2 linked regions of the Schizosaccharomyces pombe genome follow. The gene in region 2 interacts genetically with the main gene of each other region. Each region holds a gene or a part of one and is shown on either strand. Other genes may lie near its edges.

Region 1 (7,027 bases), on a different chromosome or scaffold from region 2:
TCCGGGGGTTGGGCAACCTATCGTGTAATTAGCAAATGTAAGTAGCGTATATGTAAAATTAACAAACCTCCACATCCTTTTTTAAGTCACCGGTTGCATTAGATACTGTAGATGTTGTAGCCTGTCCAAAAAGTGACATTCTAATAGTTGTGGTAGTTGGTAAATTACTCGTATGCAGACAAAATTACTTGCTTCAACACACTACCACAAATGCTTTTGCCAACATTTGTACTTCAATCACTTACAGCGAATAAGCTTTGCTATTAGGAATACCCAATTGTTATTAATTAACAGTTGGAAACAAAATATTAGTATTTAATTACGGTCACAACATATCACAGGATTTACGCTCCCGAAGTACTCTTTTCTTAATACAATTGAATATAAAGTATGGATTTATGAAATTCATTAGAAAATGGAAGAATTTACCCTAGATAGAAACAGTAATGTTGGGAATTTAATAGCTCTTGCAGTCCTTAACAAATTTGATGAACTAGCCCGTCATGGCAAACCGATCATAAGAGCAAATGGGGTGCGTGAATGGACTACTTTAGCCGGTGTTGTCATTCAGAAAAAGATGGAGAACGAATTTATTTGTGTTTGTCTAGCGTACGTCTTTTTTATTAATATCGGTAAACTGACATCTAAAGAACAGGTGTAAAATGGTATGCTACCAATTGATTTTTTTCATTAACAAGTCAATTTAGTACGCCAGCTGGCATCATTAAGAATGAACAACTGGGTAGTGTATTACATGATTGTCATGCTGAGATTCTGGCATTAAGATGTTTTAACAGGTAATATATACAATTATTTGTATATTTGTTAGTATTCGTTACTAATAAAAGAATTAAGATTACTTCTCGAACATTGTATTTTAATTAAAGAATCAAAGAAAGATACGTGGCTTCTTGAAGTTGCTGATAATGGTAAATTTACTCTAAACAGCAATCTTCTGATACATCTGTACGTTTCCGAATGTCCTTGCGGAGATGCGAGTATGGAGCTACTAGCTAGCCGCTTGGAAAACAACAAACCATGGAACTTAACAGTTGATTCAGAGAAATTAATGCGTGGGAGGGCGGATTTTGGACTACTTGGAATCGTGCGTACTAAACCGGGGAGACCTGATGCCCCAGTAAGCTGGAGCAAAAGCTGTACTGATAAATTAGCTGCAAAACAATATCTTTCTATTTTGAATTCCCAGACCAGCCTCATTTGTGAGCCCATCTATTTATCATGTGTAGTGCTTTATAAAAAAGTGATAGTTAAATCAGCAATTGACAGAGCATTTGGACCCTTTGGTCGGTGCGCACCACTTGCTGAATTTGGAGAAAAGGATAATCCTTATTACTTTCATCCTTTTACCGTGCTGGAAACGGATGAAAATTTTTTATATTCACGGCCGTTGAACCAAGCAGAAAAAACTGCAACTAGTACAAACGTTTTGATATGGATCGGTGATAAAATGCAGTGTACTCAAGTGATACATAATGGTATTAAAGCGGGAACAAAAGCTAAAGACGTTGAAAAGTCTCAAACATTAATATGTAGAAAGAGTATGATGAATTTGCTGCATCAATTAAGTCAATCGTTGACTAATGAAAAAAACTATTATGAATGGAAGAAACTCAACATCAAACGTTGCCAGCAAAAGCAAATTCTTCGTAATATCTTAAAAAACTGGATCCCAAACGGAGGGAACGAATTTCAATGGATATAAGAAATCTAGAAACCTCAATATAAGATGTACGTATGAATTAAGGCATTAAATAAAACGAAGGATGGCTTTACCAGCGATAATAATTTTATTAACGACTGACTTGTTACATAACAAGTAAGAAATAAAAGAACGTGTTGCGAGGAATTAAAAGTTATTTTTTGCATTTCAAAATAATTCACATATAGAAATCTGTCAGAAAGGAAATGAACGACAACTAGAGTAATTAAAGTATTATAAAAATCATCTCATAACATTATTCCATAACTCGGTTTAAAATGTAAAAAGAAGGATCATCGAATTAAACCATAGTCTGAAAATTGCTTGCTGTGACTTGCAATACGCCTTACTTCGGAAGATGATGGATGAATGTTTTCTGGAGTGTTGGATATGGATACTGGAGTAGGCGGGCCAGTATAGTAATTTGAATTTGGTTTCTGAGCGCTTAAATGCTTTAACGGTGTAGAATTGCTTTTAGAAAGTGATTTTGGCCGAATGCGTCTAGGCGTTTTATGTTGTAAAAGAGATACGCTACGTGTCAATTTACCATGACGAACCCACAGATAATGAGAGGAGGAGCGTGATAGCGTACGAGAAGGGGTGCGTAAAGGAGAGGTATAAGGATCATACATATGTGTTAGATCATCAGAACCGATCGGTCTTGGCGTTGTCAAACCATTCTGATCATATATCGACTTCGTGGGAGATCCCATGGAAAGCCTGCGATTCCCTGAAAGATGTAAGGACGGAGGCTTTCCAGAAGAAAGCGATCTCTGGTTCCATATGGAGGTAACAGGTTCAGAGTTTGGACAATTGTGAAGCTTCGTTTTAGCGACAATGGGAAGATCTTGCAGAGGGGAAAATGTTTGATTAACTTGTACTTTATACATAGCCAATTCAAGACGTAAGCGTAAGTTTTTAGCACAACACTGAATGTCGTCTAAGTGATTATTGTTGGTATTGGTTTGTACTGGTGTCTTGGGTTCTAAATGTGTTTCTTTTTCCTGTTTCTCTCCTATCTCAGTAGAAGATTCTTTTTCCTCTTCACTCTCCGTACTACTAACAGATTTTATTTTTAAGACTGGCTCTTCACATGCATTTTCATCTGCAATTTCTACTGCACGCACATTTCGAGATCGAACCGCAATCGGTGAAATCGTCCCTGGAGCCGCATTCTCTTTTCCTAATGGTCTCTGCATCGGTGTTATAGGAAATAAATGTTGCACATTTTTTCCTTTTCCATACTCATACACTTCGTTTGTTGGCCTTTCCCCCAAAGTGTTTAAACGAGATGGGGTCAATGGTTCCATTGACCTATCCATCTTGTTATTTTTTCTAAACGGAAACCAATATAAAGATTCCTAGTAGCAGAGAATCAGAAGGAAAAGTAATAATCAGAGACAGTTTTTTTGCGACTCGTCGATTGTTGCGTACTTGTGGCACGTATATAAGCGGTGTCCAACGCAACGCGACGCGACGCCCTTTAAAGCGCGAATTCGCGATATAGCGCGTTTTATCAGTTTGCTCATATCCTCGAGTTTATTAATTATATTAACTTTCAAATTTTTTAAATAGCTATCAAAAATGATGCTATAAAAAGTAAACCGCAATTTGCATTATGAAGAGTGATTTACCTGTTATGTTACCGATACACAAACTCGTTCATAACTTTCCTATAGTCATTTTACAAGGTTAAGAAGGCTTTATTCAACGTCCGTTTCAATATCCCTGCAAACGACATTTGAAAATGACAAAATCAATTGGAATAATAAATGGAGTATTTGTGAATTGCACAGGCAGACCTACCGTACACTGAAATATGCTTTTGTTATGTACACAATTACTAAGGCTGATATTTACAGATTAAAAATAAGATACGTTATATCAAGATAACAGTCGGTAGACGATTTAAACGCGCATCTTCTTAATATTAGTTGTGAATAGATACGAGAATGAAATTTTTTTTACACACTAGTATTCGACCATTTTGAAAAATATTTAGTCAATTCATCGCAAAATGTGGATCAAAAAAGGGAATGCAACCACAGAATACACCTTAGACCGCTTTAATGATAAGAATCACTGAATAACCTAGAAACCCGAATGATGCTCAATGGAAAATAAACAAAAAGGGATCTGTAAGATAACACACACCTTTCCACATACGCTTGACAACGAAATTTCATCCAAGACCAATCAAACGCTCCACATCAATAGGCTACTCTCAAGTCACCAGTTCATCTATGCAAGAGCGGGAAAGTCAGTCTCAGAAAGGGTGGGAGGTGCCTGTTGGGTTTTTGAGGCAGTTTCTGAAGGACCACGACGGGGAGCACGGTTAGGACGGCCACCGCGAGCAGGACGAGCAGTAAAAGTTTGCTCGATATCAAGAAGAACCTTCTTTGGCTTGCTTTCCTTGGCAGCAGACTTCTTTTGAGAAGCGCTCTTCTTAAGAGAGGCAAACAATTCTTCGGGGGCACTCTTCTCGACCTTAGTAGCGTTTTCAAGTTTCTCAACAGTACGACCAACAGGCTTTGCGGCGGACTTGCGTTCAGACAGATATTCATCAAGAGTCTTAACATTTTCCTCCTCGGCAGCAGGAGTTTGGGCTCCAGAGGGAGTGTTACCTTCGTTCTCTGCAACATCAGGGTTAGCAGCAGAGTTTACGAGATCACCCCAGCCACGTTCAGTAGCCTTCTTGGTATCACTAAAATAATGGTTAGCAATTATATAATTTGGCATTCACATGTAGAAAAATAAAACACATACACTCTACCAGTTTGGCTATGGCGGTCAAATTCACGACCACGGCGAGCACGAGCATTGCGGCGGTTGGAGGGGGCGCCAGTGGCATCCACAGGATGGGCAGCGTTGTTAGCACGAGCTTCTTTGCCTTCACGAGCAAAGGCTTCGTTTCCTTGAGGAGCTTGACGGCGTCTGCGAGGTTGGTCTGCCTTCTTATTAACGGTACGCTCACGAGGAGTGGGTTGGTTAGGGTCACGCTTCCTAGAGGTGGTGCTTTGAGCGACTAATTCGCGGGGGACAGGAGGGCTGTCGGAGCGCTTTTTGTCACGAGAAGCAGCGGTTTTCTTCTCGGTAGTAGTAGCTGCGGGAGTCTCCTCTCCGAGGAGGTCAAAGAGGTTCTATAATTTGGTTACTACTTGCGAAAACAAAATAAAAATCAGCAGAGTCTGCAGAGCTAACACTCTAAAGAATAATGAACGAAATGTGAATTTATATTTTTTAATACTTGAGCGTCTTTATACAGGCTATACTTCTATAAAGTATTTCATTCGGGTCGCAGTAATGAAACCTTAAACACAGCCCTAAAACATGCTACAAATAATTACCAGTTCGTTCATTTCCTAACCCTTAAAATAATCGTTTAATGATAAAATGTTTAAATCATACCTTGGATGCAACAGACATTTGGAAGCTGGAAAGTTAATTGTGTGTGTTCAGTTACACAACTACAGTCATCCAAAAAGCAGTCACTCAAACTTAGGGTAGGTTGAAACAAATGATGTGCTTTGTCCATCATCTTACGGTAATACCTAAGGCTATCTTAAAATTACAGTTATTCAACACAATGCCTGTCTTTTTTCTATGATATCGGAAGCACTTGGCTTACAATTGTCAATATTCGTTTTATCGAATCATTCATTTCTTTAGCATTAAAATAAGTTTTATTAAGAAATATACTACTGGTAAAAAAAAGCTAGGCAGTCTAAGTAAGAATTAATTACATTATATTTTGAAACAAATAATAAATTAATTCATTCAATGTAAAAAGACTGGTACTAAAATCGTTATAAACTAAATCCAACCAAGTAATAACTTGAGACGATTAACATTAAGCATCAATATCGATTGGGTCATCAGAGGAACCTTTTCCCATTGTTCCATTTGTTTTGCGAGAGGCACGTAGAGATGTACCGGCACCTTCAAACTTAAATAAATTGGGGTCTTTCTTAGAATCTTCTTCAATAGAGGGTGCTTTATAAGGATACCCAAAGAAGTATGTACCCAATGGTAGGATCAACGGAGCAGGACATTCTTGTTTCTCAACATCGAGCAAATTTATTTTAGGCACTTCAGCAACTTCTTTACCATTTAGTTTAGTCCCTGTTCCCTTCATCAAATTCGAATCGCCCTGCCTCACCAGCTCATCGTAACCAATCTTGGTAACCATCGTTCCTTGAACGCCAGCAATATTTTGCTGCTTGTTTTTTTGCAAACTTTCTTCATAACCGATGGGGGGATCAAAATCAACTACCAAATCGGTTTCTACCACTGAGACAACATGGCGGGAGTCATCAGGTTGAACATCTATAACTTTTATTTGATATACCTGGTCGTTATACAAAATCTCAAATATATCAGATTTTGTAAGCGTACTGAAATTCCTAAGCGCATTTTCCAATACCGCTCTGTGGTCCGTGATATCAAGAAAATTCACGCTTTGAGGCTGTAATTTGACATAGCTGCCCTGTGCTATATCAGTATTTATAACTCGAACCAAATCTCCAGGCTCAAGGCTAAGTGTAGTCATCATCTGTGCCCTAGTTAGTACATTTCTGACAGTCTTTAAATTTTTTCATACCCAATAAGGCAGGTAGACACGTCCCTCTTCCGCAATAAATTCTAACACACCCCCATGAGTTTTTTTCTCTGCAGCTTCGTTTTCAAAGTCAAAAAGCATGGGATAACTGACATTCAGGCGTGCTAATAGTTAATTAACAGATTTAAAAGGCTTAATAAATTCTCTTCGCATTACGTACATAGTTTTTCTAAAGCTGAAGGTGGTAATATTACTAGACGTAGTTGTTAATACTAATAATCCCCAATAACAATATAAAAAATATTGAGCAGAGAATGTTAACCATAAGCAAATGCGCAAGCAAGCGCTCAAAGATAAAATCACATGAACTTCATGAGTATATAAAATCAAATCTCCAACAATGTGAAAACTTAAAAGTATTTTCAAACCTTACCTTTCCCACCATAATTGACATTTGGCCGTTCCTCACCAGGAATCATGGCAACAGGATAACAGCGGTAACGAGTATCAAATCGCTGATTTACATTATTATGAAAAGCTGACCGAAGTTGAGACATCATGGAGAAACCATCATCGTCGCTTGAGAAAAAGCTGCCGCCAAACTAATACGTGAGTAAGTCAACGTACGCATTCTCTAAAAAAACCATACCATATTTGCTTTTTTTGCGAAAAAAGGAAAGAGTAACTATGGTTCTCCCAATTTTTTATAATGCAACGTAAATGTTGTAGTGCAAGCAAAATACACTTGA
Region 2 (9,595 bases):
TTGCTGCTGCACTGTCAACACATGCAGAGTCTAGTCCTATGGATGCTACTTCACCTGTTGACTCAATGCCTGAATCTGCAACTGGTATTTAAATTCTTTGTACCTTTACGTTATTATATAAGAAATCAAGGCTCACGTTTCTCCGGCTGGACCGAACATTTAGAGAACATTAATACGGAGCTTGTATGTACAAACAGAGCAGTACCCTAATTTATTCTCCTTTATTTCCTTTATCTCGAGTTTAATACTTTCCTTGGATAAGACTTGCTATTAATGCGGTTTTCTTTCCCCTTATAGATCTACTTCAGCTTCTAAAATTTAAATCCTTCTATTGGCAATCCTCTTTACAAACCGTAACTTCAGTATATGCAAATAAGTGTTTTATTGAAAGAAACAATGGTGAATCAGTGCTGTTTAACTATTCAATCCTTATTTTTTTTCTTTTACCTATGGTTGATCTTATATTAGAGCAATTATATTAAAAACAGTTTAACAATGCTACAACAAGAGAAATGGTTGTGAGAACAGGTTGAACTATTTAAGTTTGATTAAATAAATAGAAAAAAAATGTAACAACGTTAATGTCTAATTTATTGTAACTAGGAATTAGCTTTGTAAAATTCAAAACAGTATAGAATGATTGAATCGATAGGAAATCAGATAATTTTGAGTGCCTTTTATATTTTAAAAGATAGGACCGAAAGATTGAATCGTAAAAAGAAGAATATCGGAAATGCAACATGCAAATTAAATATTGAATAATTTGATTTTTAAAAGAAATGACTAAACAAAAAGAGGATCCACAACTTCAAAAAAACAAAAGAATGATAAAAAAAATGCAAAAAGGAGTGGAATGGAACGAAATCGACAGGTTATAGACGAATAGAAGGAACACAGCTAAATATTGCTGTGTTTGCACCCACTATTAAAACAATTATCGAAAGCACGAATATTGCACGTCTGTTTAAACTTAAGCGAATGGAGGGTTGCAAAACTTTCTCATAATGAAACGGTTTAACTTCTGAGTATCCCAATAAGGCAAGAACAGGATCATGTTTAGACCACGTACATATAAGGTTATAAAAACCAAAAGCAAATGGAAGAAGTGTCCATACCCGCTTTCTCCTTGAGTAGTCTAGGAAAATACCGCAAAAACCTAGCCAGTAGGCAGCAAAGGTAGACACATAACCAATAATAAATCTCCCTGTGCAAGTTAAAGGATTGAGGTTGTGCTTAAATTTGTGGTTGAGAAAGCGATAGTAGGCGGGTTTGAGAAGGAAATTGAGAAGATAAGTTTCGACGTCTTCAAACAGACGCAACTCGTCTTGTCTTTGATGTTCCTTGCAATCTAAAATAGGTTGAACGAGCTGTGGTGGTAGCATAACTTCATGTGGAGATGCTGGATTGAAATATTTTTCGATAATAATTTGAGTAAACATTTTAACTTGCTCTTTACTGATAACCGTTGATTCCTGCGTTAAACTTTGAATATTTGATGTCAAAAGGTTTTTTAAATAAGCAGCTCTATCTTTAGAGAGTAGTAAGTCTGAGGAGTTGATAGTTTGTTCATTGGATAATTCTTCAAGAAGAAGAGGACCAAAATTTGGCCAGTACACTGTACTCAAATCTTCAAGAGAAAGGCTTGCTGACCTAAACCGCGTAAAGTGGTGAGGACCAAGTGTGGAACTGCTTTCTGTATTCAAAGAAGTGCTAGTAACACCAGCTTTGTATAGACCTCTTATATGCTCTCGAAAGAGAAATTTGTGAAGCATAATATCAAGAAACAAATCTAAAAATTCTATTGCATTTTCTTCATCACGTATATAAATGTAAAAGTTGTATAAACTCAACGGTGGAAGATTTTTTTTGGTTAAAACTTCTGAAACTCTCGGGGCGGAAGCCATTCAGACAACCACCTCAAGACAAGTACTAGAGTTCCTAAATTAATCCGATTTTAATGTGTATCAAAAAAAATACAGCGGATTGGTTCCGCTTTAGTTTCAAATGTCAGATGACACAAAGTGGTGGTAACATCTGAAGTTACTAAATTAACATTCTACACTTTACTAAATAAAGGTGATTTGTGGAATGCAATAGAGCATACCATATTACTGTAAAAAATTAATAATAAATTTTATAGAATTATAGATAAACTAGTAAGCTTTACTTGATACCTTATCCTCGATAAACAGATACACCTTTTCTACAAATATTTTTTTTGACAAGCATTGAGCCTCAGTTCAAATGTCACCATATTTGCATTTAATTAGATAAAGAATACTAAGCAGGATTGATTGTGTTCCAAAAGCCAATACACTCAGCGATAACTAATGTAAAGTTAATATGTAAATTTCGAAACTTTGTAGAATGAAAATCAAATAAAATCTTCTGATTAGGAAAAAAGGTTCTGAAATAATTTAATGAACTATTCATTAAAGCAATGGGATTTTCATATTATTTTTGATGGTATATTAAACTTATGTATTTCTGTTAAAATGGACGTAAAAAATCAAACATATTTCCTCATGGCTGTGTATTATTTATTGTTTTCAAAGGTTACTGATTGATATTGAACAATAAAGTGGGTTTAGATTTAGATTGTTTACTTTAATTCTTATATTCATGGCATCAATTCCAATTATTGTTGGCTTAATTTTTTCATTTTCAGGTAATTTTTTTATCTATGAAAATTAACAAGCGCTTTTCATACTTTTGTTGTCAAATCAGAACCAACCCATTTTTGTATTATTTAATTGAAGCGATTTGAATTCATGTTTACTTTTTTGTTGAAATAAAGTAGTGTAATGGAAACTAACAATAATAGTAAATTATTTCTGTTACATACGCTACGTTGTATTTCGTTTTTTACCTTCCACTTGATCGTGATAATCAATAACCGTAAATTCGAAATAATATTACTAGTCCAGTTTTCTATTAAATATTTAACTCGAGTAGACCTCAGCTTTCTATAGCTTACAGCTCGTTTGCTAGCTATACTTAGTGTTACGCCCTTAAAGTTTCATTAGTTTTATTTCCCTTATTAACACAATTAACGGAGCTTGTACGATGTAAAGGTCATATAACGACCTTGAGTAAACTTCGTTGATTTGAAAATATCGTTAGTAAACTTAAGGACAACGCAGCACACATCATTAAAGGACAGCTACGGTAATTATAATAGCGAGTGTAAGTTTGGAGTATGCTGTGTTTCAGTCATTTAAAATTTCTGCGCTTCTCCAACTTCACCAAAACTTCCAATCCGTTTTGGTTTGTAAAAAGTCGCAGAGATGTTTATTCTTACTGGTATGTGAGGAATTTTTTTTATATATCTAACAACATAATAGAGACTGCGGCGGGTTATGCCATTTTTAAAGCAAAGGATAAGTTGTTGAAGAAACGTGATGCCCTTATTGAGGATTTAAAATCTCCTGAGGGAGCTTCAAATCTGTATGTTTGTTGCATGCAACAATTGATTAAATGTATGATGAGAATTAACTTGCTAACACTGAATTTAGCTTAAAACTACAATCATTCGCCAAGTTTGAAAGTACTGTCGATGCTCTCGACAATGTTTCTGCTCTTGTTGAGGGCAAGGTTTCTTCCAAATTATCCTCTCTCCTAGAAGGGTTATCTGACTCAAAGAGCTCCACGCTGGTTGTGGCTGACCCTAAACTCGGCAATGCTATCAACAAATTACCAGGGTTGGAATTTGAAATAATTTCTGACTCTTCCGTTCAAGACTTGTACCGCGGTATAAGAGAGCATTTGTCTTCTCTCATTTCCGGATTGGCTCCTTCTGATCTCAATGCTATGTCTTTGGGTTTATCTCATTCTCTATCTCGTCATAAACTTAAGTTTTCTCCGGATAAAGTTGATACGATGATTGTTCAAGCTATTGCATTACTCGACGATCTCGATAAGGAACTCAATACCTATGCTATGCGTGTTCGTGAGTGGTATGGTTGGCATTTCCCTGAGATGGGCAAGATTATTCAAGATAACCTAGCTTATGCTCGTGTTATTAAAGCCATGGGTATGCGTACCAAATGTAGTGAGACCGATTTTAGTGATATTCTTCCGGAAGAAATTGAGGCAACTTTAAAGAGTGCTGCTGAAATTTCTATGGGTACAGAGATTACGGAAGAAGATTTAGACAACATTGTTATGCTTGCAGATCAAGTCCTTGAGCTTGCTTCTTATCGTGCCCAATTATCTGAATATCTTCGGAACCGTATGCAGGCTATTGCCCCCAACTTGACTGCTCTGGTAGGTGAGTTGGTTGGTGCTCGTCTTATTGCTCATGCTGGTTCTCTGATGAATTTGGCCAAGCAACCGGCTTCTACAATACAAATTTTGGGAGCTGAGAAGGCTTTATTCCGTGCTTTGAAGACAAAGCATAGTACACCTAAATATGGTCTTATTTATCATGCAAGTTTGGTTGGTCAAGCGAATTCTAAAAATAAGGGTAAAATTGCTCGAGTGTTGGCTACGAAAGCTGCTTTATCTTTACGTGTTGATGCATTATCAGACAAGGATACTACTAATGGTAATATTGGTTTGGAAAATCGGATTCGTGTTGAAAACCGTTTACGTTCTTTGGAGGGTGGAAAATTATTACCATTGCCTACAGCTCCTGTCCAACAATCTAAAGTTCAAATTAATGGTACCTCTGCTTACAGTACGGCTACCGATGCTGTTACAAAAGATGCTGAAGAATCTCAAGAGGATGTAGAGATGGACATTGTAATCGAGAAGAAGAAAAAGAAATCTTCAAAGCTCAAAGAAGCAGACGGAGAATCAAGCAAGAAGGAGAAGAAAGAAAAGAAGGATAAGAAGCACAAGAAGAGTAAGAGAAAATCTGAGGAATCCGAAGATGGAGAATCTCCAAAGAAGAAGAAAAAGTCCAAAAAGTCAAAGGATTGAGTAGGTCGTTAGAGCAAATTCCATTAATGTTTTAAAAAGGAATTATCAATTCACTTATTGTTATACAATAATGCTTTCTTTTTTTAAAAAAGGTTGAGCTTGTTTAGAGGATAACGACTCAAGTTCAAAGATTATTTAGGTTCTCGTTATCCATTTTTGTTTTATATTATACTGGAAACTTTCAGAGTTATCATTATTGGCTTTTTAATCTCTAAACTTGGTCAATTTAGTTAAATTATGGCATCAAAAAATTCAAGTTTCAATAGCGTTTTAGATTCAAAAGGTAATTAAGCGACACCACTTTAAAATTGCTTTACACATCTGTTGTAATTTCCGCCAAAAATTTTTGTATGGCATTCATTTGCTTGTGCTATAGTAAAATTGTAAACATATCGTCGTTTTAGATAAATTTATTGATTTGGTTTTCGCAATTGAAATTTTAGTAATGTTGTGCTACCCATTCCTAATTTCCTAAACAAATTTAGATCTTAGTGGTCAAAATTTACTAGTTGCATAAAAATTACATGTAAGGCGTCCGCTACATTGCAAGTCTTACGTTTAGATAAATGATCAATTAAAACATAAAATTACAGGACATAGCTTTTCTATATCATAAACTTCAAAAACACCACTATTTGTTAAATTCCATCCCCTGTTGATATCTTTGCATCAATGCTCGAGCCTGAACTTGAGCTTGTTGTGAATCAAAAAAACGAGATTGCTCATTTTGAATGTTGGGCGTTCCCGAGCGATTTGAGGACCTCGCTAAGTAGTTATCCGTTCGGAACTTTGAGTAGTTATTGTTGGGAGGTCCCATAGAAGTTGCTGAAAATGTTTGAGATAGATTAGGATCGGGTATGTTATGAGAATTGTTTGAAGGAGCACCAGTAAACGAGTTCAATAAGTCTTGTTGGGCCTTCAGACTATTGGCTCCCTGCATTGTAATATAAGAGCCCGAGGAAACAGAATCTGAACGAGTTAATGATGGATTGGCTTTCTCTTCTTGCTGCATAGTCCCTGTATTTCCATGTAAGTCTGTGCCATTTGCATACGAAGACGAATCCCCATTTGAAGGAGGATACGATAGTGTAGATGTCTGAGCGATTTGAAAATATTGCCGGAGTTCTTTGTATAACGGCTCGAGTTGAGGTAGACTTTCAGGACACGAAAGTGGCGGAGTTAAAACTTGCATTTGACGGGGTGAAGCAATTGATACTACAAAAGCTAGATTAGCTTTGAGACGTTGTATATAACTAGTAAATGAATTAGTAACAACGAAAAAAATATAATGTAATAAAAGAGAGACAGTGCGAAGCGCAATTTGAGGAGCCGAAAATGGATACACACAATGAATATCCTTCCGCAGCTAAGTGTGCACGTAAGCAAAACATTTCAATCACTTACCTGTTGAAAAGTTCAGTAGATAAAGCCCGTTGCTCCAATGTCGAATTTTGCGCCGTCTTAATATGCTGAAGTTCTAAGCATTTCCATAAAATCAAACGATTAATTTCTAATAATTTGTTCGCCTTTTCAACTTCCATTGGATTAACCTGTCCGGTTGGGCTCGCGGAGTTTACTATCGGTGGACTTTTCGAAACAAAGCTCATTATTACAAACGTAGTTAACTTAAAAAGGAGATATAACTTAAATAACCAGTTTTTTTAAAAAATTTGTTGTAACTTCTTGTGTTTAAAACCCATTAACTAGGAGTAATGGTAATATATATATATATTTTTTTACAAATGCGAATTTTAGAGTCTCTGATGAATACTGTCGTTAAAAAGTATAAAACAACCTTTAAATGCTATATGGTAATAAACGTGAATGTAACAACACTATAACAATTCAATAGCGACTATATTCCAATAATGACAAGTCAGGTGTATAGTTTAAGCACCTCTAACCTCGGGCAAATAAATTTCTTATTTTACGGAACATTCAAATTCGACTGAATAAGATTGTTGATAACTTTTCAAATATATGCAATAGAATAAATAAATAATAATTATTTAGAGACTAAAGCTGATTTGCACGCTTCATTAACAGAGATAATATTTATACAATTCAATAACAACACTATTAGCGTATAAAAAATAAGTAAATTTAGATTTTTCTATAAATTTGCAATTATATAGACTATTGATAACGTAAAATAAATTATCCCATTTGCTTAATTAAGTAAAATGGTATTTTTTTAATTGAGGTACATCAAAAGAATGTGTTTGAATAATTATGGTTTCGTCCAAAATTCAGTATCTAGTTATGAGGTGAAATGACAAAGTAATTTTGAAATTCGATTAAGGTGAAGATAGATTGAGTTGAATAAGTCATTTTGGGCCAATCGTAAATTTCAAAATGAATACTTTGCATTTTAAAGATAAAAACCAGGGGTATTGAAAAATATTGTTAAGCTAAAATGAGGATTTAAAGCAATAGAAGTCTAAACACGTTCATAGAATAGCATATACGCTTCGACTTTTGAAACCTCGTCCCAGGATGATTCGCGTACAATATTGTCACTAATGTAAAGCCATCGTCTCTCGGGTATGCCAGCTTCAGAACGGAAATCCTTAGAATTCGTAGAAGGGGCACTGAGGTCTAAGAATTTATGAGACAATACGTAAGCAACATAATGACCATAATTCAGGGTGCCACTGTGCACAATGACCCCGAAAAGTCGATATCTAAAACTACTTGAAGCACGTAGGTGTGGCATAACGAACTCGTTTAAATCTAATTCTTGTTCAAACTCAATGAAATCGGAAATTTTTTTGGGATTGGCGTAACCATCGTGGGAAATCTCCTGGAAAAAACGCTTCAAATGGATAATAAAAACAGGAGGTAAAGGGTCATCTAATAACATCCGCTTGTAAGCATTTCTATAAACACTGTTATTAAACGAATATTTATCGTTATCCGACGTCAATCCTCCCTTAGCTGGAGAGCCAACTTCGTTAGGTTGATTACAGCAATTCTCGCAGGCAAACATGTTTTCACCACTTAACTCCTCAACATGAGTAAAGTTTTTGAGACAATCAATAAGTGTCTTAGGCTCCTCTATTATTGGGCTTGATAGTGAAGATTCTGAGAAAATTGAATTACTATTATCAAAATCTTGTTTCGAAATTTGCCCGCTAGAATTGACAGAGAGATCACTTAATCTTCGAGTCAGTTTTTGAAATGGAGACTGTTTCAAACTCTTGTCATTTTCACTAGCATGCCCACCAAGTAAATTTTCATTTAACGAAGAGGAATTAGTAGTCGGGGCTTGATCAGTGTCGTCGTTAGCATTGTCAACAACTATCTTTACAGACGATTTTTTTGGTGAACGACTAAATCGTGAACGGAGAGCACGATGGAATCGATGACGACGACTTACGCGGCTAGACGGGTAATGAATAGGTATGGATAAATCTTGAATAGGTTCAGGAGTGTTAGTAATTTCATTACAACTTTGGCACATCACAACGCTCGTTAAACGGCCTGTAAAAATTGACTTGATCACCAGGCTTGAAGAAAATTCATCCATAGTAGCTTTATCAAGCATCATATCATCTGAAGAAAGTTCACCAAGCCGTAGTATGTCTAGTGAACGCCTTTGAAATTGAGGAGATTTTAAAACTTCTTTTTTAGGACTAGCCTCCTCATGATTAGAACTATTAGATACATTGAAATGAGAATTAGGATCTTCAAAAGAATTGGTACCAGCGACCTCATGTTGACCCTTAAAAACTTGTTGTCCCTTGTCTGAACTGGAATCGAGAAGTTCTGACGATGGAAGGGATTTTGTAGACGAGGCCGCTAATGGCGATGAATTAGCAGGCAAGAAACTGTCATGCTGATGCTGTGAAGAGTCAGATGATTGCGACAACTCCTTCGAATAAGTAATATCTTCGGTCTCAGAACCCACTAATGAAGAAACGCTAACATAATCTTCGTTGTTCTGCTCGTTATCACTTGTATTGTGTGAATTTGGCGACAAAGAAGCATCTGTAACATTCACTTGTTTAAACGAAGTTAACGATTTAGAAAGCTGTTCATCATCTGTCAAACATGGACTAAGTTGAAGAGAACGTGATACACTATTAAGGTTAAATCTCAGTACACGAAATTCTTCAGAAATGAGATCGTCCAATAACAGCCTTAAAAGCTCGTGAGCATCCTGCTGGACGCTTTCGGAAAACTGGGGATGTAGTCTTCGAAATTCTCCGAAAAAAGTGGTAGGACGATATACGGAGATAGTGCCATCTGATTTATAAAAGGTCTCCAAAAATTTAATGAATGCAGATAAAAGAGAAGATTCAGGAGATTTCGTTAACTTTCGCACTATAACTGAGGAGTGGGAATATTGGAACGGGCTAATCACATCGTGTAAAGCCTCACAAGCACATAGGACTTGTAAAGTCGAATTAAAAAAGCATGTGGCACCCAAATTTTTTAAACCAGGACTGATAACTTTATATTTCTTCGAGCTTTTGCCAGAAGAATGCTTACTCTTTTTTTCCTTTTTAAAGTGTGACGAATTGGATTTTAAAACGTTGGGGGCCTTAGTTAACGATGAAACCAAGTTAGAGCAAATAAATTGTTGAACGTCCCGCACAACTAAATTCTTTTTATCAAAAATAACTATATCTGCATCACAACTGTAACAGTGACATTTCAAGGTTATAAT

Evidence for each region.
Region 1: mutations in SPOM_SPAC23G3.05C (region 2) and nrm1 together harm fitness less than expected from each alone (positive genetic interaction), as found in Schizosaccharomyces pombe (one large-scale study listed by BioGRID).

What each region holds. Positions count from the first base shown.
Region 1 is NC_003423.3:4,282,057-4,289,083, reverse strand, and holds nrm1 (protein nrm1), read right to left. Parts: upstream 3,141-7,027; 5' UTR 3,043-3,140; coding exon 2,014-3,042; 3' UTR 1,724-2,013; coding exon of another isoform or gene 856-1,723; 3' UTR 798-855; coding exon of another isoform or gene 708-797; 3' UTR 666-707; coding exon of another isoform or gene 651-665; 3' UTR 610-650; downstream 1-609. Other genes in the region: nucleoporin Rae1, read right to left, coding at 1-17, 68-139; tad1 (tRNA specific adenosine deaminase), read left to right, coding at 416-609, 651-665, 708-797, 856-1,723; oga1 (protein stm1), read right to left, coding at 3,962-4,424, 4,487-4,860, 5,129-5,146; Hrd1 ubiquitin ligase complex subunit Ufd1, read right to left, coding at 5,571-6,272, 6,321-6,442, 6,499-6,531, 6,712-6,880, 6,928-6,930. UniProt on the Schizosaccharomyces pombe protein: Negative regulatory component of the MBF complex involved in cell-cycle-dependent transcription.
Region 2 is NC_003424.3:873,660-883,254, forward strand, and holds SPOM_SPAC23G3.05C (RGS domain-containing family protein), read right to left. Parts: upstream 2,031-9,595; 5' UTR 1,905-2,030; coding exon 873-1,904; 3' UTR 501-872; downstream 1-500. Other genes in the region: Ino80 complex subunit Ies4, read left to right, coding at 1-92; U3 snoRNP protein Nop58, read left to right, coding at 3,288-3,303, 3,345-3,447, 3,516-4,923; SWI/SNF complex subunit Snf30, read right to left, coding at 5,555-6,176, 6,328-6,530; ubiquitin hydrolase Ubp7, read right to left, coding at 7,364-9,595. UniProt on the Schizosaccharomyces pombe protein: May be involved in cell polarization and division.